Linked DNA regions of Rattus norvegicus. The protein of the gene in region 1 purifies or fractionates together with the protein of each later gene. This does not show direct contact. Links are inferred from orthologs where the notes say so. Each region holds a gene or a part of one and is shown on either strand. Other genes may lie near its edges.

Region 1 (10,396 bases):
GCCCTTTAGCCAACCATTACCCTGCTCCTTGTTTCAGTGCAGGGTCAGACTGTTTCCTTTCTGTCTTTATGGGACATAGTCTGTTTTTGTCAAGTTTTTTTTTCTTAGTTTTTGTAGTTTGTTTTTTGAGAGGAACTCTATGTAGCCCCGACTGCCCCGGAACACAGAGATCTGCCTGCCTCTGCTTCCAGAATGCTGAGACTAAAAGCAGTGTGGGTGTTGGGATCTGAACTCTAGTCCTCTGAAAGGGCAGCAAGTCCTCTTAACTGCTGTGCTACGTCTCCAGCCCAAGACTTACTTTTACTTGTGTGTACGTGTGAGTGTATTTGCATGCAGGCGTATGCATGCCTGTACACATGCGTGGAGGCTGGAAGAGTGTCTGTCAGGTGTCTGTCTTCTGTCATTTTCTACTTAGTGCTTTGAGGTAGGCTCTCTCTGAACCCGTGTTTGCATCTTCTTTAGGCTAGAAACCAGCCAGCCCCAGCAATCCTGTTTTACCCGAATCAGAGCTTGGGTTGCACGTGCTTTCTCAAGCTTACCCAGCTTGTGATGAGGGTGCTGGGATCTGAGTTCTAGTCCTTACGACTGCAAGGGAAACACTAAACCACTAAGTCATCCTCCCACCTCCTGTTTTTGGCTATTGTTTATTTCATTACAGTTGTTCTTGAGACCTGGTCTCTTCTAGGCTGGCTTTGAACTTCTGATCCTCCTGCCCTCGCCTCCCAGGGGCTGAGATTACACGTGGGGGGTACCACACTTGGTTTATGCAGAACCTGGTGCATGCTGCCAGCCAGGCCACACCCACACCCCATCTGGTTTTGAGTTGTTTGGTTTGAGGCAGTGTCTCACTTTATAAGCACTCTCAGTTGAGTTTCTGACTTGAACCCCACAGCAATCCTTGGTCTCCCGCATGCTCAGGTTGCATGAGTGAGTGGTGTCTGCTCAGAAGTCTTGTTATTTTTGTTCTTTGAGTCCGCGGCTTGAGAAGTGTCAGCGTGTGCTCGTTGGTTTCCCGACAAGCAAGTGTTGGCATGGCTGTCTGCAGGTTGTGCTGGTGTTGACCAGGAAATGCTAATTTGGGGTCAGGACTAGAGGCATAGCTAGAGTGATAGAAAGCTTACATGGCATATTAACAGCTTTGGTCCAGCACTACCAAAGAAAACACCAGGTTTTGGGGTGACTGACATTTTGGGGGCCCTAAGAGGGATCTGGATGGCTCAGACCTTCCACTCTGAGGCAGAGCGAGGAAGTGGAGAACAATTGTCCAGCCCCATCCAGCTCTATCGCAGCAGGCATCTTAGCAGGCAGGGCCCGCCCCTCTGCTACAGCGAGCATTTGGAAGTGACCCACAACCTGAATGGTGACCTTGCGTTCAGAGAACTATCAAGGGGAAGCCTTGGGGCTAGCCAGTTCACCAGTCAGAGGTACCAGAAAATAAAGCCGTTTTATTATTTTCGTCTTATCCACCATATGGCCTGAGGGTTGGGGTGGGAGCAGAGTAAATGGCTGGCCCCAGATGAAGGCTCTGGAGTCTTCTACTTGGCCTGAACAGTCTCCTCCAGCCTGTCCAGGCGCTCTTGAAGCTTTTGCACTATGGCGTTGAGATTCCTCACATCCTCCTCCAGCCGTGACACGGTGTCCTAAGAGACCCAGCCCTGCATTAGCCCAGCTTTTCTGTTCTTCCCTCCACTGGCGTCAGCTAACCTTTCCAACAGCCACAGGGCTTGGGCCCTTCTCTCCCAGCAGATGCTACTCGGATTACTGTCTCTAGGCTTGCAACCTGGTTTCTAAGGCCTCCTGGTCACTAGCTCCTTGCCCTCCAAGAATCTCCCGCTGTGCGGAGCTTGGGCACCTTTAAACATTAGACTCTTTCCCTATGAACCTTTGCCTGAGCCCAGCGTCCCGCCTTGCTCCCTCCCGCAGCTCCCCACCCGCCTTACCGAGCTAAGAGTGCTACTGGGCTCCGGTGTAGCTCTTCTGCGAGCACTGTCCAGGCCCCTGTTGACTCTTAGCTCCCTGCTCTTTGGGGGCACGTAGCCATCCTTGAGGGAAATGAGGAGGGGGCCAGCATCACGACCGCTCAGCCACTCCTCAGCTGTGAGGGCGGGGTCGGGTCCGGCAGTGGGTGGATACAGGTCCTCCTGGAACAGGTCCGACTGTGGGCGAGGCCAAGGCGGGTCATGAGAGTGTTTACGTTCCTGCCCCACCCTACAAGCCCCCCCCCCCGTGGTCATTTCCGGTCCCAGCACCCTGGGAGGAGCGCAGGAGTATCACCTTTCTAGGCACTGTCATGGCAATAGGCTCACATTTCCGCTCATGAAGCTTATAGAATCTGTGGAAACAGGAAGGTGAGCATCATTATTCAGTGTGACCGTTTGGGTACTGAAGGTCTGATTAGGATTAGGGGTCAGTCACCTGGCAATCTCGCACTTATTCACTTCCAGGCCACGTTTGGGCATGTAGCCCATACCACGTTGAGACTCCTTGGAACTGAACATGGAAAGATAATGCAGGAACGGAGCCTCAGACGTGATCTCAAAATACCGGATAGAGCTGTCACCCTGGAGGTGTGGGCAAGAGAGTCAGTACCAGTACAGGGCACCCGACTTCGTTCACCACGCCACCTTCCCACGTCCCTTGCCCCCCAGCCCTCCTGACTGAGTCACCTTGCCACAGAGGTAGACGATGTTGGTATCAGGGTCAAAAAAAGGTAGCAGGACTCCACTGCTTGTGTCCAGCTCCTGCAGGGACAGTGGCTCCTCCAGGTGCTTCTGTAGAGACAGGTGGTGATGGCAACAGGCTGGGCCATGTCAGGTCCTTACCGGACAATTACCAGCTAAGGGCCCTCAGACTAAGCATAGAAACTCCCCATCTCACAGGTAAACCGAGGCCATGGTCATATGGTAGGGCAAGCCTCTAGCCTTGACTCCCAGCCTGCAGGGCCCTGTATCTCAGTACTCACTGTGTCCCACAGCGCCACCTGCCGCTCACTCATGCGACTGAACCCCGTGGTTAGAATCTTCCCTTCTGACACAAACACAGCATGCACTGGCCGAGTTCCCTCATGAGGACGCTCCTTCTCCTGAGAGGAGAGAGATGTGGTAGGTCAGCTTCTCAGACCCCACGTGGGTGCAGGAAGAGCAACATCCGAAGGTTTAGGTTTCACGGCAACTTACAGCCACAACAGTGCCTTTGCGAGGCTCGATGACGCGAACACGCTTGTCACGGCAGGAGGTACAGATGAGAGCACCATCCCGGCTCCAATCCACACTGTAGATTGTGTCCGGGTGCACATCCGGGCCCAGCGTCAGCACGGCTGCCCCAGTGCCCACATCCCACACCAGGATCACATTGTCACAACCTGCACAATCGTCCAACATTGAATGATGAGCCTTTGCCCTCTATCAAGTCTCCTAGCCCTCCCCTCCTCACCCTATGGCACCTGCGCTGAGCAGTACATTCTGGGCTGTGGGGTGCCAGGCCACGATGCCAACCCGCTTGGTGTGGCCCTCCAAGGTGACAACAGGCTCCCGCAAGGGCAGCACCAGGCCCCCATCCGGGATCTCCCACACCTGCAGAAAGGGGCAAGTGAGTCTCTGGGGCTTCAACACCAGGTTCTTCCTGGAGACCCCTTCAAACCCACATTCCTAACAAGACTTACCATAACTGTGCAGTCCTCAGAGCCACTGGCAATGACGTTGTCATTGTGTGGACACCAGGCGATGTCTAGCACAGGGGCAGTGTGGCCGCACACCAGGGGCACATTCTTGTCTACTCGTCCAGTCTAGGGGGCACAACATGGCTTCTGATGGAGACAGTTGACCTCCAAACCCAATCCAACCTCCCCACACCCCTGCAAGGGAAGGTTGTGGGGTCCCTGGGAGCACTGAGGTGGGGAGGACTTGGCTCTGTCCTAGTCCCGGGAAGGCTAGCACCAAATTGCATGAGACTCTGGCCCTCTCTCTCAGTGTCATCTGTGGGTACCATGGACTCAGAGTGAGCACGGGTTGGGGTCCCCAAGAGGAGAGTGTGAGTAAGGGGGCTATAGGATGTGTTCTACAGATAGGGTCCTGGAGGTCTGTCCTGATGCTTCTAGACAGCAGCAGAGGTTTGGAAATGGCCTCTTCCGAGGGCCAACTGCTTCCTGTGTAAGGAGCTTCGCAGGGTGCAGGCACAGCTTCAGCCCGACAACCACTTCCTCTTCTCTTTTGCTTCCATCGGCCCTTTTAAGGTAACAACTTGGGGCCTATCTCCCCTTCCTGTTTCACCCCCTGACGAGTCCAGGAGTGAACTGGGGCTGAAGGGCAGCAGGCTCAGAGGGGAGGGAAAGGTTTTTGCCTCAACTCCACCCGTGAGCCAGGACTCACACTTGAGGAGTCCCCAAAGTCCTCGCCAGACCTGGAGTCTCATTCCTGAGAACACTAGAGCATCCTTATCCTGAGCAGAAAGCCCCAAGCCAAGACTTAAGTAGCAAGTGGCCCTGTCACGTCTTACAGATATCAGCCCAGGACCTGGGGTTCTGTGGGGTCACCTACTCAGGACCCCACGGTCTCAATGGACAGCAGAATCATGAGGAGCACTGCGGTTCCAGAAGCTCACCTTGCCTAGGGGTAGCACCAGGAAGGCCCCTCCCCCACTGGCCTCACAGATCAGAGCCATGAACTTGGGGTTGACAGCGCAGAAGCCACTGTCCCAAGTGGTTTGTGAGACGCGCACATCCTCATAGCACTGGTCAGCTTTGGCTGGCTGTCCAAACACGTGGCGGAATTTGCTGGAGCGAACCACCTGCCGGCTCATCCTGAAGGACACAGATTGTAAACTTTCCTTTGGGTCAATTCCAGCCCTACATTGTCATCCCCAGAGCAACCCTTGGCCTGGCTTCGAGGGCTCCAGCATCTTGTTTGAGGCACCCTGACCTACTACTCACCATGACTGACAACTCACTTACCTCCCTGCTTACCCTCCCCAGTTTTTCTTCTGTCAAACTCCCAGGCACTTCAAGCCACACCCTCAATCCTGCACCACCAGCCCCTACAATAGCCTGATATGGTGTGGCTCCAAGGGTCTGGTTCTTGACTGAGACACAGTGCCTCCTTCCTAGTGGTCCAGGCACGCTGGAGGTGGGTTCCCTCCTATTGACCTCTTCTAGATCCTACATCCCTCACGCCCACACAGAGCTTCCTAAAGGCAGGGCAGGGCTTCTCCCTGGCCTTCCAGCTCAGGGATTGCACACAGACGGATGCATGCCAGCTTGCCTAGGAAGGAATGAGGTAGCAGGATGGCTTCCCCAGGTTTCTGGCTACAAGCAGCAGCAATGGCTTGGGTCCCAGCATCCCAGACCTCGGCTCCTAACCTCCGCTCAGAAAAAGCAGATGTTCTGAGCCATCGCTGCTTCCATTAAGCTGCACTCAGGAGAGGCCCACCCTGACATCCCTGAGGTCCGCTAAGATGGTTACCCACTGTGGCTAGGCAGCCAGCCAGGGCCGCCCAGGAGCGGCCCCTATCCTTGTGTTCCAGAGCTCCGTCCTCGTGCCCAATCCCTCCACCTTCCTGCTCAGTGGAGGAACCTCGGCTGCCCTGTGGAAGGCATCCTGCCCGGAGCCTCTATCCATCTCCCCAGCCTCACCCATCTGCTCTGCCTTAATGGGGAGCCCCTTCTAGTTGGGACTCCAGTCCTCACACACCATGGTATCCCCAAAGGAGGCTCCCAGGTCTATAAAAAAAAGCAGGTGAAGTGCCAGAGTGAAGTCTCCAAGACAAGAAGGGGACACAGGCCACCAGTGAGCAGTCTGGACTAGGGAGAAGGATAGCCCAATCCAGAGGTGGGGGCTGAAAGATGTGCCCCACCCGGCCTCCTCCCCCACCCAGGTACCAAGCCCGGAAACCACGGAAAGGGGAACTTAGTCTTGTTTTGCACTCAACCCCTTCCTGTCTCAAAGCTCAGGGCAGCTACTTGTCTCACCCCACCCTGCCCTCCTCGAAGCTCCCTCCCGGGGGCATAGGTTCGGAGTCCAGCTACGGCCGCTCCCAGGAGCCCACCTCCATCTTGGTCACGATGGTCCTTCTCCCTCACCTTGGAGCAATCTGGGACCTACTTGCCCCTTTGCACTCCCTAGTCCTCGGTCCTCCTGGCGGGGCTCACAAACCGGCTCTCTGTCCCCAATCTGGTGGCCCTGACAGCTCGCCCGCCCCCACAGTCCCACAGTCCTGCCCCCACACCGGCGCTGGCCCCACAGGTGGCCCATGGCAGCGTGGCCGGGCCCTTGTGACCAGCCCTCCCCCGGCGCCCAGCCTCACCTGCTGCGGAGAGCTGAGCGTGACCCCTCCCAAGTGGAGGAGGCAGGAGAGAAGGATGGAGGAGCCGCAGGCTGGCCACCGAGGATGCTCTGTCAAGACAATGAATGAGCAGCGGCCGTGCGCCGGCCTCCTCTGGGTGGCAGCGCCCCTTTGGGCGGAGCTCATGGAGGCCCGGCCCTTCGCTCTGGGGCGGCAAAGCTGGGACCCGCTCCCATGCTGTCAGCTCCAACCCCCGAACAGATGCTGACGCGAATCAACTCTTCTTTTAATGTCAAAACGCAAAAAATATCCGTTCCTTCATCCCTCCCCCAGCCGCCCGCAGCCTCCTCGAGGTCCTTTCCCTGGCACCCGAGAAAGCGCCAGAAGGGCTACAACCAGCTTGAGAGCCTTCTCTGCGACAGGAAGGATCTCTCTTGTCGATGACCCAGATGGATTTCTGGGATGCCTTAGGGGGGGTTCATTTCTCCTTTCTAGGGGTTCAGGGCTTCAGCGGGGATGCCGTTGACCTCTGCTTCACGGGGTTGAGGCCCGGAAGAAGTAGAATAACTGGGCATTATGGAGCACCTGTTTTGTGCTGGGGCTGAGGAGGGAAGTGAGTCGTGCTCCCGCCACTAGAGAGCCCTCAGGCCTGTGGCAAGTGGAGTGGGGAGTATGTCTGCCACAGTTTAAAGGCCACTGAGTACACGCAGAAGTCTGATACCACACGCAGAAGTGCTCTTAACCATTCCTGTCCCTTAGGGGGTGGTGGGTTGTCAGGGCAAGAAAGGCCTTTGCTGGAACCTTGTGACTCCTGGTGGTCACTCAGATGACTTGGACAGGTTAATTTAATCTCAGCCCTAACTCCCCCTCTCTAACAGTCTTACCTGCCTCAATGTGGAGACGTTCACTCCAAAAATAGCTGGATGCACATCTACAGAGCGTCAGGCGATAACTAATGTTGGATCTTACAGCCAATGTGGTGGCCCACACCTATGAATCCATTACTGGGGAGGCAGAGGCCTAAGGATCACAGTGAAGCCGAGGCCAGCCTGGTCCACATAAAAGTTCCAGGCCTGGCTACATAGTGAGACCCTGTTTCAAAAACCTAAAAGATGTTGGTCCCTTTCATAATTGTCATTTACCAAAGCTTTGGGCTATCCTGGGAAGAAGAGGGAAATAGCAGATGTGGCTTTGGAGAAGGGCAGGAGCTGAGGCTCGGTGACAGCAAAGCTCAAAGACACAGGTGTGCTGATAGTCATCTGTGCTCAGGAAACTGAGGCAGGAGCCCTCACAGCCTGGGCTACACAGCAAGACCCTGTCAGAGGAAACCGTTCTTCCAGGTAGAAGTAGTCCAAAGGAACAAAAGGGGCCTGACTCCAATCGTACCGATTAGCTGTGTGATCTTGACCAAGAGGCCCCTCCTCTCCAAGCCTCAGTTTCTGTAGGAGAGGAACAAGGCGCCCTGCCCACCTCACAGCTGTCTGGGCTCAAATGAAGCATTTGACTGTTCTGTAGCCTGCAGTGTTCTATAGTTACTCAACAGGGTTGGATTGTGCCTGAGGCTCTGTGATCGTGGCCAGGGACTCGGCAGTCTGCAGCTAAAGTGCTAACAGTACTGGGCTGAGAATGCAGCTCAGCTGGCAGAATTCGTGCACAGCCTGAGGAAGGCCTGATCTCCAGCATCACATAAACTAGGCACCAGGCTCGAGAGGTGGCTCCATGGGTAAGAGCACTCGCTGTTCTTGCAGAGGACCAGGGTTTAGTTCCCAGCATCCGCCTGGTGGCTTACAACCATCTGTAGGCATGCGTTTGATACACATACATACAGGCATGTAAAACAGTCATACGTACTGCCTCAGTCACTGTTCTGTTGCTGTGAAGAGACGCCATGACCACGACAAGTCTTATAAAAGGAAGAATTCAACTAGGAACTTGCTTATGGCTTTAGAGGGTTAGTCCGTGATCATCATGGTGGGAAGCAGAAAGGCGTGGTTTTGGAACAGTAGCTGAGAGCTTTACACTCTGATCCACAGTCAGGAAGAGAGGTAGATAGACAGACAGACAGACAGACAGACAGGGCCTGGTGTGGACTTTTTTTTTTTTCTTTTCTTTTTTTTCTTTTTTTTTTTTTCCGGAGCTGGGGACCGAACCCAGGGCCTTGCGCTTGCTAGGCAAGCGCTCTACCACTGAGCTAAATCCCCAGCCCCTTGGTGTGGACTTTTGAAATAACAAAGCCTACTCTCACAGACACGTTTCCTCCAATATGGAGGTATCTATTCCAACACATTAACCCCCAGCGGTTCACCAACTGAGAACTAGGCATTCAAGCGTGCGAGCCTCTGGTGGCCATCCTTACTCAAACCACCACAGACGTAAAATAATAAACCGTGAGGTGGCAGCACGAGCCTTTAACCCCAGCACTTGGGAGGTGGAGGCAGGGAGATCTCTGATTATGAGGCCAGCCTGGTCTACAGAGTGAGTTCCAAGAGTTATGCAGAGAAACTCTGTCTCAGAAAAATAAGTTAAAAACCTAGAAACAAAGCCAGGTAAGATGGTGATTGCCTATAATCTCAACCCTTGGACAGAAGAGGTAGGAGGCTCAGGAATTCAAGATCATTCTTAGCTCCATTAAGGAGCTCAAGGCTAGTTGGTGCTGTATGAGATTCTGTCTTAACCCTTTCCTGCAGATAATAATAGCTGATGTTTATTGTGCAGCTTCTATATACCAGTTTTGAACATTATAGATTTACACGCTCACTGGGTATGCTGGTACATACCCACAATTCCAGAACTCTGGAGGCTGAGGCAGGTCACCAGCCTGGGCTACACAGCAAGACCCTATCTCAAACACAAGCAAACAAAAAGTACCATATTTACTTAATCCTAAAAACACCTTCCACCCCGAGGGTGGCTACTGCTTGGTGGTTCTCTCCCTTTGGCCGGAAGTATATACACCACCTTCAGCACCGGAGGGCCTAGTACTCACACTCAGACAGAGAACTTGGTGAAACCCGCCTTCAGGAGCAGTGAAGCTAGCAAGAGATAGCTAGGCAGTCAGACGCTGCTCTTAGATGCAGGCAGAGTCTGCAGTATGGGAAGGGGAAGATAATATGAAGACAGGAAGCTGTTGTAGAGGACAGACACAGAAACTAGTGGGAGGGACTTCTCCAAGGCAGATGTCTACAGAACACAAGAATGAGTGTTAGCTCAGTGACGGGTGGGTCTAGCTTGTCACTAACATGGATGTGTGTGTGTGTGTGTGTGTGTGTGTGTGTGTGTGTGTGTGTGTATGTACATCTGTGTATATGTGTATTGGAGACCAAATTCAGGATCTCAAGCATGCTAGGCAAGCATTCTGCCACCAGGCTATCCCCTGAGTCCTCCTCTGTGACGTCACTTTGGTTTTCTTTCAGAGATGTAGCATTCCATCAGACCATCTGGGATCCTGCTTGTGACCATGCTTCTCTGTCTAATGAACCCCCTTTCTGTCTAGCGAACCCCCTTCCCCTGGCTTAGCTCTGGGAAGATCACTGATTCAATCTGTGCTGTGAGAAAGAGACACATCTTGGAGCTGTGTGAGGTGGGAAAAGCCCTCTTTGCCCCAAATATGAAAACACAACCCTAGGAGAGGGCATTTATCACCATGTAGGAAAAAACTACTCAGAATAGCCCATGGAGAGAGCTGCAGAAGCAAGATACAAAGACAGATTCTGTGCATCATTGGAGGGTCTGGATCAAGCTGTGCCAGAAGCACTGTATAGTGACATATAAGTTAGTAGAGCCCCCCACGCCCGCCTAAACTAGTAAATTTGAGTTACAACTGGTCTAGCTTCCCTGGAGAGAGACACAATCAGAGACCCAAGCACTCAAATATGCACAGTAAAGACAGACCGAAATACAGGAAGTCCAAAGTCCTGCGGGAGATTCTCAAGGTTTTCTCTAGTCTGTCTGCCTCTAAAGAGGTTGTGGGACATGACAGTGACCAACGATCTGGAAAGACCTAGCTACTGTTTCCTGCGGCTCCTCACCAAGCAACATTGACTTGCCTACAGAGTACATAACTCACTGATTTTATGGAGTAGGAAGACAAACGCAGGGCATGAAACGTCTATGTGGCTCT
Region 2 (9,794 bases), on another chromosome or scaffold:
TGAGCCTGACATCAGGCTCAAGGGACATCCAGACATAGAACCCACCCCCACTATCCCCATTTGCTCTCCTGCCTTGACTGCTGGCCACAGTCTCCTCCACTCTGCTTCTGCTGAGGTAGTAGGCAGGATCCATCTATTCCAACCCCAAAAGCCATCACTGCATAATATTCTCTCAAATGCCCACAAAGGGGTGAGCCTCTCCTCACAGCCAACGAAGGGATGAGCCTCTCGTCACAATGCCTTGAGCAGTGACTGTCCAAGAACAACCTCCTTTTTATGACGTCCTGAGCTGTCCAAGTCGCCTTAGCTTTATGGCAGATATCAGGGACAACACAGATTATCATTTGGTAGCTGTGTGCTCCTAGCTGTGATCTAGAGTGGGAACTGTAACTTGTGTCAGAGACGCTCAGCAGCACACTGCTCTAGGTCAACCAAGAGCCAGTGGGGTCCTGTAGCCCCTGCCCCTAAACACCAGGAAATGGCTACAGCTTATGGGCAGCAGAGAACCTGGAGAGAGACTTAAGTACACACAATCCTTTCCACGGACACTATTTTGTGTACAGGAAGAAGCCTTTGGCAAACCTGAGCCTGCTAGAGTCCAGGGATACCAAGGGACCCAGATAAAGCCTGGTGCCTGGGAGGATGGATTCTCTGAGATAGATAGTGCTGGGGTTGAGCTCCTTTTCCACATCCTGTCACAAAGGGGTCTGCTCACTTCCAAGGACCAACATGCTCCTCATGATGCTAACTCGTATTCCTGTGGCTCTGGGTCTCCAAGGAATGCTGAATATACCTAAATGTATCCTGACACTAGCAGCAAGGACCCTTAAGTCACCTTAAGCAAGGTCACATAAATGGCCACTTTGGGATGGTAGGAGACAGTGAAGAAGGTTAGCCAGCATTGCTCCTGACTAATACATTAAGTCCCATCACCCCAAATAGGACCAGAGAAATAACAACCTGACAACCTAAGTTTAATCTCTGAGTCCCACATGACAGAAAGAGAACCAACTTCCCAAAGTTGTCTTATGACCTCCACAAGTATGCCATGGCACATTCACATGTGTGTACATGCAACGTGCACACACATATGCACTCACTCTAAACAAACAAACATTTAAATCAATTAATGTAATTAAAAAAATTAGAACACCAAATAAAAGGCTCAGTATCTTGCTAGCTGCAAAGTCATTTAAAAGCCCTCCATGATGCTCTGGAGAGATAGCCCAACAGTTAAGAATGTGTACTGCTGGGGTTGGGGATTTAGCTCAGTTGTAGAGCGCTTGCCTACCAAGCACAAGGCCCTGGGTTCGGTCCTCAGCTCTGGAAAAAAAAAAAAAAAAAAAAAAAAGAATGTGTACTGCTTATAACTATAACTCAGGTAACCTATAACTCAGGTCTTATAGAGGACCTGAGTTTAGTTCCTAACATCTGGGGATCCAGTATCCTATTCTACCTCTGCAGACACACACACACACACGCACACACGCACACACACACACACGCACACATGCACACACACACTTTAAAAAAAAAATCAAAAAACAAAACAGAGCAAAAAGGCCTTCGTAATGAGACTGGGGTATATAGCTTGGTGAAAGCCATGCTTGATGTCCTAGGTTCAATTCCTAGTACCACATTAAAAGAGATGGCTCAGTGGTCACAAGCACTCATTGCTCTTCTGATGAACCCTGATTCAAGTCATGGTTCACACCCTTATGGCTGCTCATGACAATATAACTCCAGTCTTAGGAGGCCCAGTGCTCTCTTCTGGCCTCTTTGGGTATTGTACATGTTTGACAAAACACTCATACCTACAAAAATGAATACAATTAAGCAAAGACCCCTTGGGTAGGATGGAGGTACACAGATGTTCTCAGGAGCCAGTGACCAGAGAACTCAAAGACTTAGCAACTCAAGTTTCTGGAAATGACCAAGCCAAGCCTCCTGACAACTTGTCAAGAAAACCCATCTCTCCCAGGAGCTTTGTAAATAAAACACTAGAGTGCGTAGGACTCAGCGTGGGAACAGTGGGCAGACTCCCAGACCCTTCCTACTGAAGAGCTAGATTTGGCTCTCAGTTGTGTGGCTCTAGGCAAGCCTCACGTTACCTGAGGATGAAGCGGGGAGAGGCCATGCCTTGCTGGTCACCCAGGCCTGTGCCTGGATCATGGGCCTGCACATGTTCGCAAACCACAAAGCACATTCTGGATTTCAGGGATGGCGGGGGCTGCTGCTCAGATGTTTGAACAGTCTTAACGTGGGCTCTGAGCATATGGTGCTTAACCCACCTCCACGGGAACTGGCACTATCAGGGCTCCACCAGCCCATCGGCTCCTCGCTGAATTAGGAAATCAGAACTGCTCCTTGCAGTGAGAGGCAGGAGCCAAGAAACACCTTGCCGGGGAGGACACTCAGCCCACCTTAGACCAACAGCACTGGCTACATGCTGTAACTCACAGCTGAAGCAAGCTTTACTCCAACAGCCGAGGCGAGGACAGAAGCATGAGCGCGGGGTGCTGGGTACTCACTGCAAGCACTAACCACACTCTCTCAGAGCCCACCAGCCTCTTATCCCGCACCACCGCGGGAGACATTGAACTTTGTATCCTTAGATCTCTCACCTGGGTTTCTTAGGAATCTGGAACAGAGGAGAGATCAGAGGTTTGCTACCACAACGGTGCTGAGAGCTTCCAAACAGACCCATGGGTGCACTGAAGAGGGTGACCCTCCCTGGCAGAGTTTTAGCCAAGTTCTCTGTGAAGGCCTTTGACTTGAGCAGACCTAGCCAGAGGTACAGTATCGGAAAGTAGAGTGAGCTGTAACCCCCTCCCACTCCCGGAAGGTGATCCCCAAAGCTGAGAGGTGAGTTTGCTCTCGTGTGAACACCTACCAGGTGCCACAGCCTTGGGCAGGAAGCTCAGGAGGAAGCCGGCTGTGTTTATAGGCTGCACAAAGTCCCCACAAGGCTCCGACACACAGCAGGACAGCCGAGAAATATGACCCTGCAGCCTTGCTGAGGAGTTCCATCCCAAGAGGCAAAGAAGCAGCAAACTCCCACTGAAAGCTTTCAGAGGAACCTGTGGGTTGCAAGCACTCCCGTCCACTCGGAACTTGGCCTTGATGCTCACCCAAGGCCCTCCTGGCCCTGCTAGCCCTGAGCTGCACTTCTGCCCACTCCCTTGAAACCCACAGTCCTCTCCCTACCTCCTCTGAACTCTTCCACCTCCTGCCAGCCCCCTCCTGAGATCTCATTCTCCTCTGGACTCTGCCCTCCCCAGCTGTCTCATGGGTCTCATGGCTGCTGTGGAGTCCTTTCCTCTTTAGTGGTCCTCCAGCTCCAGCCATAATGGTTCAGAATATGGCAGTGGCCCTTCTTTCTCATGTCCCAGATCCCAAGGCCCAGGTGGCCCCTCCACCAGCACGGCATCAGCTTCCGCCTCTACTCGTTCTACATAAGCAGCCCTTGGCCTAACCACTCTGATTCATTCTACACTGAGCATGGAAATCCGTGCACCAATGACCAGGGTCTATCAACCACACATCATAGCAGAATCTCTCTCAACACTTGTCTTCTCAAATGTCCCTCCTCCATTTGCTCCTCGAGTGTCACGCCCCAGAGTTACCAGTCACTAGGATTTGGGACCTTAGGTTTAAAGGTGGCATTCAAAGATCTTCCAATGGATACATGCTGCTAGAACTCAAGAATCTATCAGGGAGACTCTTCCAGAGACAGCTAGAAATCCTCTTTCCCAGTGTAGGGTTGTGTGGCACAAACCACACCAAGCGCTATACCGTAATACCCCTACATACTCTCTCAGCAGATTATCACCTCATGGGCAAGGGTCACAGAACACAGGAGCCTGCGCTCCTGGCCACTGCACTCCCTGGTCCCTTTCCTGTCTCATCTCTCCCTGCCCAGACTCTCCTTGCTCTGCCACCTTCACCAGTCAACATGGAGACAGCGCCCAGTCTCCAGCCCTAGCCTTTAACTCGGGCCTGGGCCAGGACAGAAACCAAGCCTCTGAGTCTAAAGAGGGTGGACGTGCACCTGACTGCTCTGCTCTGGAAGCCTCTGAAAGCACAGCAGCGGGAGGTGCCTTGGCTCTGACTAGGAAAGGCCTGGTTCTGGTGGCTAAGCCTGCCACCTGCTGGTGGCACCGTGGACTGTATGTCTCTACAAGTGACTGATGACTCCTGCTGAACACTTGGGGCCAGCAGCAACAGCATCTTTGTCACTGTAGCCATGTTGTGCCAGCCACTCTTCCCTCTTAACAAGAGGTAAGTCAAGCCCTGGCTTGCCACCTGTAAGATGAACCCCATCACTGTCCCAAGAGCTCAGAGGAGTCACTGACCCACCACCTAGTGTCACACAGCTGAGAATGCTGAAGCTGGCTACAGAATCCACACTCCACTCTGTCCTGTCCCGAACCAGGAACTTCTCCCAGTTCCTGGATTCCTCAGCTCGGCAGCCCAAGAAAGTGCTGCTTTCCAATGTCTGAGAAGCAACCACAGAAGTCTTACGGGAATATTGGGGTAGAGAGTGCTAAAGACTGAACTCCAGACCCAATGTCAACTCCCGCTGCTCTGTATCCACAGGTGACAGTTAAAGAAGGGGCCATAGGCCTAGGCCTGGCACCAGGGCTGGCCCTCAGCTAAAGCAACCTTCTACGTGTTTCATGGCTGTAGGAAGACCTGTGGAAGGTAACATGAGGCCAAGGTCCCACCAACCTCTATGCAGCCCATCTCCTTGGCCCTGGGAAGTCACCTCCGTCACAGGGAGAGATGAGTAGTATAGCGCTCTCAAGGAGCAGGCCTCAGAAACAGTCCTAGCCAGAAACTCACCAAAGACTCGGCAGCTACAGCGTGTGTGAGACTCTGCTATAGCAGGGCACCACCTGACCAACGTTCCAAGCCAAGATGACTACCACACCAACTATTCATCCTGGTGGACCCAACAGCCGCAGGAATCCTCCCAGCTCGGGGCTGTCTTTGGGCCTATTTAAGCAGCGCAGTAATGAAGCAGATGCCCAGCCCTCACACCGTCTCAGCAGTGGCGGCTTGTGGGCTTGCGACACTGCTCGACACTCACACTGATAGTGCTGCACCAGCCGGTGAGTCCGAGTATCCCACACCTTCACCGTGTTGTCCATGCCAGCAGCAGCAATGCAGGTCCCACTGGGGTGGAAGTCCACGTAGGTGACAAAGCTGGAGAGAGAACAGTCACATACTGTAAGAGTTCTTCCCTGGATAGGACGCACCCAAAGCGCCCTTTCCCTGTGTGTCTGGTCACACAGGTCCCTCAACCTGGAACATGCTTCTTTACCAGGTAGCCAGGAGACACCAAAAAGCAGCTGACAACAGTGACCAGCAGTGACATAAAGTAGACTTATCAGGAACCATGTTCCTCCCTCCTTCCCCTCCTCTTCTGTCTTTAAGTTTGTTTTTTTTGTTTTGTTTTGTTTTGTTTTTTCAGAGCTGGGGACCGAACTCAGGGCCTTGCGCTTGCTAGGCAAGCGCTCTACCACTGAGCTAAATCCCAACCCCATTGTCTTTAAGTTTTTTTTGAGACAACACCTCCATATTCAGTATGTCGCCCGGCCGACCTTCCTACCTCCCTTCCTCAGGACTAAGATTACAAGTGTGTGTAACCACATCCAGCCCCCGGCTGATTTTTAAATACAAGTGGAGATAGCTATCTTCAGACCAGCAGGTCAGCCAAGGTGCTCTGGGGTCCTTCTGCCAGGGCTAGCTCCAAGGCAGGTCCCACCAACTGAGCTGTGGGTGGGAAGGTCTGGCAGTGCTACAAGGGCTGCTCGCCCATCTGTCTCTGGAAGACCAGTCAAGAGCCTCCAGTGCACATGCATAAATACTCAGGCACTCTGGAGGGATCCCTGCCATGCGGTGGGAGAGGCCCAGCTTAAGGCATGAGGAGTGAAGCGGCAGTCTGCTTAGACAGTAGAAAAGCTCAGAGGCCCCGCCTACTCTGCCTGAGTAATGCGGCATAGGACGAAGAGCCAATACCAGCTACGAGAACCGAGGCTTTCATTCATAAATCATCACCATGGGGGAACACTAAGTTCTGACATACAGTTTAGGGGGTTGATTCAATGTTCAGAAAGACACATTATAATTTTGAGAACTAGAAACTAAAAGGGGGAAAAGAGACCAAATTATTGTGTAACTCTAGGTAAAAAATTTCTGCTGTCTATGGGATAAGGATGGGGCTTAACTCTCCATCTACAAAGGAAAAGGTAAAAGTGCATATGAAAAGCATATTCAGTTGACGAGCAGCAAGCAGGGCTGATATATGCACAGCCCAGCCCCTGAAGGCCCCTGGGTCACCATGCCCTGACCTACTCTGTGCAGGACCCGCAGTGGGAGGACGACAGAGACTCACCCGCCGTGCTCACAGTATGAGTGGACACACTCCCGGCTGGTCTTGTCCCACAGCTTGACAGTTTTGTCATCGCTGGCAGACACGATGAGCCGCCCGTCAGGAGAGAACCTAGGTTGACAGGACCATAAGTCACACTACTTTGAGTACCACACTGTGTTCTCTACAGCCACTTCCTCTAGCGTGCTATTGCCTGATCCAGGAACTCTTTGGCATTAAGGCTTTTTTTTTTTTTCTTTTCTTTTCTTTTTTTTGGAGCTGAGGACCGAACCCAGGCCTTGCGCTTGCTAGGCAAGCACTCTACCACTGAGCTAAATCCCCAACCCCGCATTAAGGCTTTTTAATGTTGTTGTTTTGACATAGGGTCTTACTGTGTAGCACTGGCTGGCCTGCAACGCTATATGTAGATCAAACTGTGGCAATCCTCCTGCCTCAGCCTCCCAAGTCCTCCCAAGTGTGTACCAACAACTGCCTGACCCGAGAACCACCTACGGGCATGTGCTGCTCTGATACCTTGAGTGATCCTGGACAAGCGGCCTCCTCTGTGAGACAGACCCTCTGCAGTGCCCACCCGTAGCAAGCACACGGTAGCACAGAACACCCAGGAGACAGATGGCCTATAGCAGTACACAGATGGTGCTGCTTGATACATGGCGGTGGTCAGGAACACCACATGAGGACATCAGCAAAATATGAAGGCCAACAAAACACATGGAGGTCCTGAGACTTACTATTCAAGGTCTACCGAGGACTTAACACCCAACTTTGCTGGCTTGCCCTCCCTATCAGTACCCGCTCTCTGAGCAGGGCCCTCCCAGAATAAGAATGGTTCTGTCATAGAGAATAAGAAACTTCCAGAGGAAGATAGTTCAGTGGTCCCCAACCTCCGACTTTCATGGTTTCTTAGTGCTCCTTGGACACCCTCCTCTGGAGCAGAGCTGTGACATGAGAAAGCTCTGTTAAAGAAGCTGACAAAACCACAGGCAGGAATATGTTTTCTGTAATTCTTCAAGCCACTGGCATCCCACCTCCCACACCAGAGCCAGGGCCTCCACACCAAGTCCTTACCCAGCAGCTCTGAAGTATAACTAAGCTGAGTAGATACTGCTCTGTTGGAAGCCTGTTTCTCTCTCTGCAAACTAAAGAAGATGCTACCTAGCTGGCAGAACTGTCCTCAGGAACAAGGAGAAAGCACACCGTGGTACTGAGAGGACTTGTGGCTGCTGCGGCTGCTATCTGCTAGCCTGGGAGTGCTCCACACACCTGACAGAGGGTCATGGCTGACTAATATGTGTCACATAGAACTCAATGATGCTCCCCCAACAAGTTCAATACAGCAACCACTATTGACATATTACAGATTAGAAAAATAAGACTCGGGGTTGGGGATTTAGCTCAGTGGTAGAGTGCTTGCCTAGGAAGCACAAGGCCCTGGGTTCGGTCCCCAGCTCCGGGAAAAAAAAAAAAAAAAAAAGTTACCCGTACAGAAAAATAAGACTCAGGGGTACACTAAAGGGAGGTAAACAACCTGCCCAAGGTTACAAGCTGACACCTGCAAGCCCTTCTGACCCCAAACCCTTCACGCTCCCAGGTTCTCCAGACAGGAAATTCTCACTTGGCACAGCGGACCCAGTTGATGTGCTGGGTCAGGGAAAACAGGAATCTCTGGCGATGAGTTGACCACACCTTGACTGTCTTGTCATCAGAGGCTGTCACGAGCAACTGGCCATCACTGCAGAAGTGGACGCTCCTCACTGTGGCCGTGTGTGCACGGAACACAGTTGACTCACCTTTGCTGAGGATAGACATCCAGACTCAGGAGACTCATAACAGACATGAGAACCTACAAGGACACCAAAGTTCTCGCCAACTCCCTAGGCCTAAGTGTCCCGGTCTCACCCCAAAGAGGCCAGAGCTGCCCAACAGAAACAAAGTGCTTTTCCCACCACCACCACCCTCGTGTGAGCTGCAACACCAGGTAGCAGCCATTCCAACATAAGGAGACAGCCCAAGCGAAGCTTCAGCCTCTGATGGCACCTCAGAGGTCACATGTCCCACTGTGACAAGCTCAAAGCCAGGATAAGGACCCAAGGAGGGACAGCTCTTATACCAAGTCCCTCGATGCTGTCAGTCCCTTGAAGTCCAGAACTCACACATTGGGTACCCAGATTCGAACGGTCTTGTCTCGGGAGCCTGAGGCAAGCAGGTGTCCCGATGGGGAGAAATTCACACAAGTCACGGCGTCCTTGTGGCCCGTGAAGCGGTAGGCACGTGACTGGGGCTTCATGTGCCAGATCATGAGGGTTGAGTCCATGGAGCCACTGGCTGAAGAGAGTAGTAACAAGATGATTCTCAGATCTCAAGAATCACAAGCACCCACCTCAATGCCAGGGATGCAGGGGCACAACAGCCCATCTCCACCATCACAGGCATTCCCCAAAGGACGATGACAGGATCCCATTGGGACGGCCTGCATCTGTGATTACTGACCTATAGTTTGGACAGTTATGGCCTGGCAGTTCTCCTTGTAGCAGGCCAACACAGGACATTTGCATGACATTTCTGTACTACAACCCAAGGCCCTTGGTCTCACCATTGATACTCTAAGAGCCTGTCAGACACAAAAGGCCCTGTACTATTGGAAGGACCTAACTTGGGGCTGGAGAGATGGCTCAGTGGTTAAGAGCACTGGCTGCTCTTCCAGAGGACCTGAGTTCAATTCCCAGCAACCACATGGTGGCTCACAACCATCTAGAACTGTAGTCACATGGGATCCAATGCCCTCTTTTGGTGTACAAATGTACATGCAGGCAAAACACCCAGATACATAAATAAATAAATCTTTAAAAGAAAGAAAAAAATAAAAGAAAGGACCCAACTTGGTGCTGGAGAGATAGTTCAGTGATTGAGAGCACTTGCTACCCTTCTAGAGGATCTAGGTTCAATTCCCACATGGTTCTGTACTCCAGTTCCAGGAGATCTGATATTATCTCTGGGGCCACCTGGCACACATATACTACTCAGACGTACATGCAGGTAAAACATTCATGTGCATAAAATAAGGCAATCTAAGTTAAAAATAAAAGAAAGGCAGGTGGTGGTGGAGGAGGCAATGTACACCTTTATTCCCAGCACTTGAGAGCAAAGGCAAGAAGCCTCAAGTTCAAGGCTAGCCTGGTCTATGGTGTGAGTTCCAGAACATCCAAGGCTACACAGAGAAATCTTCTCCCAAAGAATACATAGATAGATAGATAGATAGATAGATAGATAGATAGATAGATAGATAGATCGATCGATCGGGATAGAGATAGATAGGATAAAAATAAAAGAAAGAACCAAACCTAATAAGAAGCCCAAGGAGAGAACAAACAATGGTGTCAGTTCCTTCTTTGCTTAG
Region 3 (9,794 bases), on another chromosome or scaffold:
CCAAGGGAAAGCAAGCCACAGGCAAGGCTGTAGGCAGCTCGGCTGCACACTTACCACAAACTCTTCATCCACTTTACTTAATGTTAACTCCGCATCATCTTCCGGAACAGTTTCTTCTTCTAACTCTTCCACTGGGTATGATGGCCTGAAAGAACAAGATTTACTGAATGCTTAGAAGTTCTTAGTGAGATAAAACATGCCTTACGAGGAATGGTGAAGGCGCTTCCGTATGGGACCGCTCTCTTTGTTAACTTCAGTAAATCGATTGCTTCTGCCCCAAAATTTCAATGTTGAGAAAAGCAAAGATATCTGCCACTAGCTGTAAAAGGCACATTAACAAAAATAATTGATGCTGTATATACCGTATCTAACATGCTCACTCATATACGCACACAAAACAATATATGCATTACACTCCACTGAGCAGCAGTTCTACCATTAAACGCTCATCCTGTGACTAAAACATAGGGTCATTTCTATTGTTTGATATATAATACTTTAAAGATCATATTTGTAAATTTACTACCAGGCAGATCTTTTAAGATAAATTTGTCCATGTGAAATGGCTACATCGACAAGTTTGTACGTTGTTTGTGGTTTAACGAACTGTCAAAATTGGCTTCCAAAATGCTATCCTAATTTATACTCCCAAGGATGGTGAGGAATGGCATCTATGTTTCAAATTTTCTTCTAATATGCATAAAATAAAGTGTGCCAATAAAACAAATGAAAAAGTATCATTGTTTCTTTAAATTTCTTAATCATAGACGTGATTGAGCAACTTTATATATTTTAATTGATGATTCATTTTTAGTGAAACTCTCATTTATACTCTAACTTTTATAAATTAAGAAAATTAATGTTTTTTCTAGTTTCCTCCACCCCGTCTTTCAATTGTGTTTTATTCAATATCATTTAAATTTATATACTAAATTTTACATGTATATATATTTTGCAGCAAATATTTCCTTTTTATTTTTTGTTTTTATTGGATATTTTATGTCTTTACATTTCAAACATTAACCCCTTTCCCTCCTCTTCCATCCCTCATCGTCCTCCCGCTGCTTCTCTGAAGATGCTCCCACTTCTACCTCAACACCTTGGCATTCCGCTACACTGTGGAAAAGAGCCATCACAGGACCAAGGGCTTCTCCTGAGAGGCTCTGCCAGAGCCTTACTGATACAGATGAGGATGCTAGCAGCTAACCATAGGACTGAGCACAGGGACCCCGATAGAGGACTTAGAGAAAGGACTGAAAGAGCTGAAGGGGTTTGCGACCCCATATGGGGAACAACAATAGCAACAACCAGATCCCCCGCCCCGAGCTCTGGGGACTAAACCACCAACCAAAGAATACACATGGAGGGACCCATGGCTCCAGCCCCATATGTGCAGAGGAGGGTATTGTCTGGCATCAATAGGGGAAGAAAATTGTTTACCTAATCTAATCTGCTCCCTAGTTTTACTACTTAGAATCATGAATAATGAAGACTGTTATAATTCTTCCTAGATAGATTTGGCAACGTTTTCCTGTCCAGACCTTTGATTTAATATTACAGAATTAAAGCATTCCCTTGAGTCACACCTGCCTACATCTCTCTGATCTTTTACTATGTTTATAGTTTTAATTTTCAATTCACATTGATCTCAAATATGCTGTTTATTTTTCTAGAGATAGCAAGCTTGATTCTTATTTCTGAAGTCCAATTAGTGGTTCTAACACTAAAGTGTTGGACAACAATTTCTCTTAAGATCTACTTATTTTCACATTAAAAATTATCCAGACATATTTGCATTAATTGTGACAACTAATTCTAAACATATACATCTCAAATATTTTTAAAAAAATATACAGATCAACATGTAGTAGGAAAAAAAGTATTATGAACCAAATCAATCTTGTATAATAAATTTCCCAATTTTCATGACTTAGAATTAGATAATTATATCAAAAACAATGTTCTTCTAAAAATCGTTTGACATAGTTAGGAATAAGAATAACCGTCTATAAATAAGAAAGTTCTATGTAACACAAGTGATAGTTTCCAACATTCATTACTTTTCAAATGTTTTCCTTTCCTTTTCCATGTATATACAGTTCCTACAAATTATCCACGTCACAACCCATATTATATAACCAAATATTATACTAGAAACAAAGGAAGTGTGAATTGAATAGTGGTTGACACAGTAATAGCCTGCAATGCAACAATGACACACTGAGCTATGGATTTAGTAACTAACAAACTCGGGCAGCACATCATGTAATTCATCTTTTCTTGAAATCTAACCAACACAATTAGGGACTGCAGAGTCATTCTTTACAATGAACTGAATGGAAATGTTTGGGTTGAAGCAAAGGAAACTGCCATGTTTTACCTTGAAACTAAATGGATATCAGTTATTGAATATACTTATATCCAAAGACAGCTTAAATCATGGAAGTTTTAATAATTTTTGAGATTTTATCAATCCCCTTCTCTCTTCCATCCAAACTCTCCCATATATCAACTTCCTTATTCTCTTTAAGATTCAGTCCTCCTTTTTCTTCCATTGTTGTTACATACATAAGTGTATAACTGGGGTTGAGGATTTAGCTCAGTGGTAGAGCGCTTGCCTAGCAAGCGCAAGGCCCTGGGTTCGGTCCCCAGCTCCGAAAAAAAGAAAAAAGAAAAAAATAAGTGTATAACTATTCCTAAATATATTTCTTGTACTGTACACACACACATACACACACACACACACACACACAACTTTCAGAATTTTTAGAAATACTTATTAAAAGGAAGTAGATTTCCACAGACCATATGAAGCTCAAGAAGGGGGAAGACCCAAATGTGGATGTTTCAATCCTTCTTAGAAGAGGAAACAAAATACTCACAGGAGGTAGAGGGCAGAAGGGACTTGGGAGGAAGAGAAGGAGAGGGAGGGGGAGGGGGAGGGGGCAGGATCAGGTATGAGAGAAGATGGGGATGATATTCAGAGGGTCAGGAATTTGAACAGAGGTGTATAGCAATGGGGGATGGGAAACTGGGGTAGCCACCAGAAAATTCCAGATGCCAGGAAAGCAAGAGGCTCCTTGGACCCAACGGGGATGACATTAGCTGAAATGCCCAACAAAGGGGAGAGAGAACCTACAGAGACCATATCCAGAGGTTAGGACCCTGGTTGGGAGGATGGAGCCATTCACCCTTCTCAAAAATTTAAGCCAGAATTGCTCCTATCTAGAGGAAATACAGGGACAAAGAGTGGAGAAGAGACTGAAGGAAAGGCCATCCAAAGACTGCCCTACCTGGGGATCCATCCCATATGTAGCCACCAAACCCAGTCACTATTGCTGATGCCAAGAAGTGCTTGCTGACAAGAGCCTGATATGAATGTCTCCTGAGAGGTTCTGCTAGAGCCTTACTGATACAGATGAGGATGGTTGCAGCTAACCATTGGACTGAGCACAGGGACCCCAATGGAGGAGTTGAGAAAAGACTGAAGGAGCAGAAGGGGTTTGCAACCTCATAGCAAGAACAACAATATCAACCAACCAGACCCCCAGAGCTCCCAGGGACTAAACCACCAACCAAAAGTGCACATGGAGCGACTCGTGGCTCCAATTGCATGTATAGCAGAGGAATGCATTGTCTGGCATCAATAGGAGGAGAGGCCCTTGGTCCTGTGAAGGCTCGTTTCCCCAATGTAGGGGAATGCCTGAGAAGTGAGGTGGGAGTGGGTCCACAGGAGGGGAAGCATCCTCACAGAAGCGGGGGGGGGGGGGGGGAAGAGGGATGAAAGAGGGGGGTTCTGGAGGGGAAACCGGGAAAAGGGATAGATAACATTTGAAATGTAAATACATAAAATATCCAATAAAAAAAGAAAAAATTATAAAGTAGATTTTTTTACATAAATGTAATTGTGCATGTATTAATATATTAACATGGAATATTATATACCACTTTCTAGCTGCAGGAGTTTGTTGAAATCTAAAAAACAATGCATACTTTATTTTTATCATGTTCTACCGTCTAACCTATGAATTAAATAATATCTAATAATCAGTAAATAAAATCTAACCTATCAGCTTTCAAAGATGAAATGTATATATTTTAATCATACCATAGAAAACCAATAGTTTCTGATTTTATTTATTCATCAATATTTACTAAACATATATGATGAACTAAGTACAATGCTAATTACCAAAGATTGTATATGATGAAGGATTGGTAAGAGTTGTACCTACAAAGCTATATCTGTAAACAAATTATTAAAATATCGTAAAAAATACACAATGTGCTTTCAGAAACCAACCAAAAGGATGGCAAGTGGCTTCTTCAGCGTTATTCTTGCCATTGAGCAAGGCAAAAAGAAAGTTCCCCACTCAGTGCTATTTTAATTTCCTATTCTACATAAATATGAGGTTTTCGGTTACCTCGACAAGCACACACAATAGTTGTGGGTATAAATACGAGCACAGAGAGAACTTAGAAAGGTTTTCCAAATTGGCAAGGATTACAATAACAACAAACAGGAGATGCACCGGATTGATGAAATCATTTCAGAGTGGATTTGGAAAGCATTCTGGTTGTGTCTATCTTTAATCTTTGGTGCACTGTCAGTTTAGATCAGTCAGCCCTTGTCAGTTTAATTAAACAGCTCTGTACTCCAGAAACAATCAAGACAAACAATAACAACAGCAAAACCCATTAATTCTGTAATAGCAATATTGTCTGTGAGGTAATAGTTACCTTTTCCAAGTGAAACCAATATATTTTAATGCTTCTTCAGCTAAACAATCAAGAACATAGCATACATGTTCTCCATAACCAGACTTTAATTTTGAAGGAGGAAAATCTGCAGTTCTCCCCTGAAAAGATAAAGATGTTATTTGTTGGCTGTATTCCAGAGGCCAAGATTGTTTCAGCAAAGAACTACTGAGCACATGTATATTTTGAACTCTTCAAATGACAAGATAAAGGTAATTCTCTTAGGCATTCATTCCTTAAGTCTTTTTAGTCCACTGATACATTTACACAAGTACAGATATTTTATGCTCAAAGTACCAAATTAAAAGGCACTTACATCCTCACCATACAAGCTTTCCAGACCTCTCAGGTCCACACCCTCAGCCCACCCTTATTATCACCTTAGGCTCAGCTTCGTTAAGAACTAGGATTTACTTAACTAGCTAGACTGCTGACTGTGCAGAATGGGACATGTAAGCTCAACACTGCTGTTCTGTGTTCCCCATCACACCTGAGAAAAATCCAGAGGCAGACTTGAGGGGTGACCTCTGTAACTGTGTTCAATCTAGAATTGTCATTTTTTAATATCTTAACTTATTGTTTCTGCTTCAAAGAATGTACTGTAGCCTACATACAGGACAAAAGACCTAACTTTCTGTAATTTCAAAAATATAAATGAATAAAGGCAGTTTCATCATAGCAGGGAAACAAATCAGTACTGAAAAATTGTCAGCAAAACTACTGGCATGGTAAAATGCATTTTAAAAAAAGGATACAGTGATTCACTTATTAGAAATTAATAAGTGTCAAAAATGTCTTACTGCCTTTCCCCTGGAGAAGCCAGAAATGAAAGTACAAATGAGAAATCCTAACAAAACCCAAATCCTTCCAAAGTCAGTTGTTTGCTTCATACTCTGAATCATCCCTCCAGGGGAAGAGCTGACCACCTACCTAAGAATCTATTTTTGAGGCTTACAAAAATTAAGAAAATTATTATTAATCTGGTCTATGTAACGTTTTTAGAAGTGGAATTCATGTTCCATATAATATCAACCATTCTGGGAAGCTCTTATTTTAAAATAAATTGGAAAATCACTCCTATCAGTCAACTATCGGTCTGTCTGTCTACTCTTCCAGAAGAGTCAAATAAAAGGCTCGCACCTGTTACTGAACTGCTACTACGGAAACCTGCAGTTTGAGAACATGGAGAAGAGAGCGCGTCACTTACAAAAGAGCGGAGCTCAGACAGGATGTTAGATATAGTTGCATTGGGATCGTCATATTCCTGAGGCTGCTCAAAGGCACGGCCAGTCTTGTTGATCAGCCAGGCAGCAAGAGTGCAAAACATGTAGAACTGCTCACCGGGATTGGTAGGCAGAGCAAAGTAGTGTCTGTTTCAAAGGGAGGATTGGTTGGTGAGATAAAGCAAATCAACAGTGAGTAAGTCACACAGACAAGTCTGAAGTTGCTAATTTTCCCCTCAAGCAGCCTTCATCAATACTATTGAGCTATCTAGTGAGTTATGGCACTCAAGAAGTTTTGACCCAGTATCAAGGGACAATCACTACACTACCCAAAATATTTGATCGACACCCCTACCCCAACCAGGGATGGAAGGCAGTAATTTTGGAGGATGACCTGAAGCTTTGGTCACAATCAATTAACTGGTCATCAGTCAGTCCCCCTACAAGTGGCGACTGTGGATTATGAGGCTCTTGGACTTTAAGAGACTAATAACTTACCATGGTTTTCACTGTCTGTGGCCTATCAGCTACGCCAGGCAGGTGCTTCCTTTTAGCTGCAGATTCAGATCAACTCCTTAAAATACTGCCAGCAGCAGTCCCCAGGCCTGCACAGCCATAACTTATGGGATGGAACCCAGCACAGGTACATTTCAGAGCTTCCCAGCTTAGATGGTCCAGGGTGGCAGAAAGGACCAAGGACCCCTGTCATGTCCCCCTGCATCACCACTGCTAACTTTTGCTAATTCCATTACTGTACTAGATACATTGCCATGAGGATATGATTTATACAAAGCGAGGGAGGACATAAAGGTACAAGTAGCATCATTCAAAAGTTAAATCAGAGATCTGATATGTTTTATGTAGCTACCACTATTACTAATACACGCACACACATATATATATATGAATTTAAGAAACTAATGACTTATGTTTTTACTATATCCATATATACAGTATACACACATGTGTACATATATATATACACACATATATATATGACATAAGAATCAGTGGTCTATACTTCTATTTTCTAAACTTTTTCCATCCAGAAAGTATAAAAGTTCTGGAAGAAAATATAAAGCTAGGAAATTTTTCATGAACTCCTTTCAGGCATAGGTTTACAAGGAATTTATCTACCAATAACTGTTTATTCCTTATTACCTGACTCTCCTCTAGGACAGAAGAAGGCACACTGACAGATGCTGTGGGCCTGAGATGAGGATTCTCAAGCATGAAGGTCCATCAGAATCACCCAGAGGGATTGAAAACTCAGATAGTTTGCCTCCAGAAGTTCTGAAAAGGCAGATCTGGACAAGAGCCTTGGAAACTTCTGTCTGTATTCCCAGGTGATGCTGACTTTTTGGTCTGATAGTGACACTTTGAACTCCTGGTTAGAATGTCTCCACACAAATGCATGGTACAAAGTATCTTGCTCAAGCTTAGAGTTTCAGTACAGCAAGGTATTAATAGAAGTGTAAGGCTATTTTCCCTTTGTTCGACAAATACATTTGAAAAACAACATTTTTATCAACACCGAAAATGTTGGCCATCTATGCTATTATGACCAACTCATTTTTAAATAATAATCCCAATCCTAAAACTTCTATTGTAGATCAGGATCAAGATGGTAATTTTTCTCCCTTACAGACTAATTTGGCATTGTGGACAGTTTGTATAAAAGCCCAAGAATCCTTCCAAATGTGTCTGGAAGAGGGTAAGAGCTCAAAACTGCCAAGAGAAATTATATGAGCCTACCCAGAGATGGTAAAAGAAAGTATGTTAGTTCTTTTTTATTTCTTCTTTCAGAATAAAACAAATACAAGTTTTAAAGTGAAGGAAAAGCAATAAAACAGTTATCACTAAGCTACCATGATTACCTGTGGGAGTTTTGTCTATCACTCTTGGCAACTAATGGCACTGCCTTCAGGATATTTCAAACTTTTCCCACCACGGCAAGCACGAAACTTTAGGCCCTATAATGAGGGCCATTCCAACACTTATTGTTTCTTTTGCCTTCTCCACTCTCCGGTTTCTAAGAGTATTATTGCAAAAGTATTAAGTCCTTTGAACCATAGTAATTAGCCCACAAGTTTACGTACTACATAAAAAGTGCTCCTCAACACGGTCCTAAGTAATCACAGTTGTCAGTTTAGGAAGTCTAGCGAAGGAAAACAAAAACTAGAAAGAGATGTAAATGATAAGGCCACTCATCTCTAGAGATCGTTTTTTTTTTTTCCCTTTCAACTGTGGGTATTTTATTACACTTAAAACAAGATTTGTGCTTGGTAGACGGTGCGTGTCTGTTTCAAAGAATAAACAGGCTATCTTCCCCAGGCCTCCCTGCCATTTCAAAACTTGTTTACTTTCTCCACAAAATGATCAGGTCTGAAAAACTCCACCTTCCTCGGTGCAGAAGTTCCCTTCCAGAGCAAAGAAGACAGAGGACTGGACGTGCGGATCCCCGCGTGGGGTCTGCGCCTCACGTAGGAGGGGGCGTCCCCCTGGGGCCCAGCCAGCACCCGGCGCTGGGGCACAGCACGCACCTGGACGGGGGCTTCAGATTGCTCTTTCGGAGTAGCTCCTCCTCGTAGCGGAGCAGCTTCAGCTTCTCCACTAAGTCTTCCATCACCACGAACATGTGGTAGGCCGCTCCCGGCCCGCGCTCCACCACCGCCTCCCCAGCGCCTTCCCCGCGAGCCCGAGACACCCCATCGTCCAAGCCCGACGGCGGGATCACCGCGGCCGCGGCAGCCATCGCTGCTCAGATCCACAGGGCCGGGCTGGACCCGGGCTAGGATCTCTGCGGCCACCGCCGCCCGCACCCCGCAGACCGCCCTGTCGCCAACGTTACCAGGCGACCGCAGGGCTGCCGGTCACCATGGCAACTAGACCCCGCCCCCTTTAGGTTCAGCCGGCCTCTCTAAATTCTCGCCAACCAAAGCTGGGTTTCGCCACGACGTCACGCCATGCCGGTCCCTGGCCTAGGAAGTAGCTCCGCCCTGTAGGCGTGGCGTTTATTCCCCCGCCCCTTCGGGGGACTTTCACGCGAGTCTTAAAGGCCCAGGCTCTTTAATTCTGCGTGCTCAGTACAGCCAAGAGGAGCGGAGGATCTGGTATTCTGCTCAGGGCTGCTGATTGAACCGACATCTGATCTTCTAGGTAGCAATTCAAAGGACTGAAACGAAGCGGAACAGAGTATTGGAGGCTATGCTTGCTCAGTGATTCTTGTTTTATGTTTTTCAAAGTGGGAAGTTATCGTAGTTGTGGTGAACTCAGGTTCATTTTCCCTCAGAAATACCACCCACAAGACTGCTTGTTTATTTCTTAACTTAATTGTTTATTAGATAATGCTAGGCTTACTAGTATATTCTAAATAAGACTTGATACAAGGGTAAGTAATCACTCCAGTTTTAGGAAAATGGTTGCTTGGAAGAGGGTGGCTTGGGAAAGGATTTATACTACACGCTCATCGCCCTCATAATCTGTTCCAAGCCCATGCAGATGTAAATTCTTGAGTACTAATGAAATCTGACAAAATATAGTATCTGGAAAGGAAGTTCTGCTTTGCAGCACTTACATTAGATAAGAAAATTTTTTCTATTACAGCTGCAGGTACTGACCTAGAAAACACATGGAGACATAACTGACCACGGATATGACTTATCCTTATAGTGCTAAGAAAAGTGCTGTATCAGGCAGTTTTCCTAACAGTTAAAAGTAAGAAGTGAAGCGAAGAGTAGTGCCAGGCACTTTTTTTTTTTTTTTAATCTTTTTTTTTCCGGAGCTGAGGACCGAACCCAGGGCCTTGGGCTT

What was found.
Region 2: the proteins of Coro1a (region 1) and Poc1a purify together in Homo sapiens (affinity purification with mass spectrometry; 3 studies listed by BioGRID and IntAct, counting the BioPlex papers as one, with this or other methods). This does not show direct contact. The link is inferred for Rattus norvegicus from reciprocal best matches to the Homo sapiens genes CORO1A and POC1A.
Region 3: the proteins of Coro1a (region 1) and Ift57 purify together in Homo sapiens (affinity purification with mass spectrometry; 3 studies listed by BioGRID and IntAct, counting the BioPlex papers as one, with this or other methods). This does not show direct contact. The link is inferred for Rattus norvegicus from reciprocal best matches to the Homo sapiens genes CORO1A and IFT57.

What each region holds. Positions count from the first base shown.
Region 1 is NC_086019.1:190,724,704-190,735,099, forward strand, and holds Coro1a (coronin-1A), read right to left. Parts: upstream 6,401-10,396; 5' UTR 6,298-6,400; intron 5,860-6,297; exon of another isoform or gene 5,685-5,859; intron 4,820-5,684; exon of another isoform or gene 4,799-4,819; 5' UTR 4,798-4,798; coding exon 4,600-4,797; intron 3,785-4,599; coding exon 3,662-3,784; intron 3,573-3,661; coding exon 3,443-3,572; intron 3,362-3,442; coding exon 3,177-3,361; intron 3,083-3,176; coding exon 2,963-3,082; intron 2,772-2,962; coding exon 2,667-2,771; intron 2,562-2,666; coding exon 2,416-2,561; intron 2,333-2,415; coding exon 2,275-2,332; intron 2,157-2,274; coding exon 1,941-2,156; intron 1,641-1,940; coding exon 1,536-1,640; 3' UTR 1,426-1,535; downstream 1-1,425. UniProt on the Homo sapiens protein: May be a crucial component of the cytoskeleton of highly motile cells, functioning both in the invagination of large pieces of plasma membrane, as well as in forming protrusions of the plasma membrane involved in cell locomotion.
Region 2 is NC_086026.1:115,804,207-115,814,000, reverse strand, and holds part of Poc1a (POC1 centriolar protein homolog A), read right to left. Parts: intron 8,723-9,794; coding exon 8,551-8,722; intron 8,241-8,550; exon of another isoform or gene 8,207-8,240; coding exon of another isoform or gene 8,193-8,206; coding exon 8,013-8,192; intron 6,509-8,012; coding exon 6,401-6,508; intron 5,209-6,400; coding exon 5,093-5,208; intron 3,081-5,092; exon of another isoform or gene 2,894-3,080; intron 1-2,893.
Region 3 is NC_086029.1:64,584,766-64,594,559, forward strand, and holds the start of Ift57 (intraflagellar transport protein 57 homolog), read right to left. Parts: upstream 8,781-9,794; 5' UTR 8,737-8,780; coding exon 8,525-8,736; intron 6,129-8,524; coding exon 5,966-6,128; intron 4,860-5,965; coding exon 4,741-4,859; intron 146-4,740; coding exon 55-145; intron 1-54. UniProt on the Homo sapiens protein: Required for the formation of cilia. Plays an indirect role in sonic hedgehog signaling, cilia being required for all activity of the hedgehog pathway.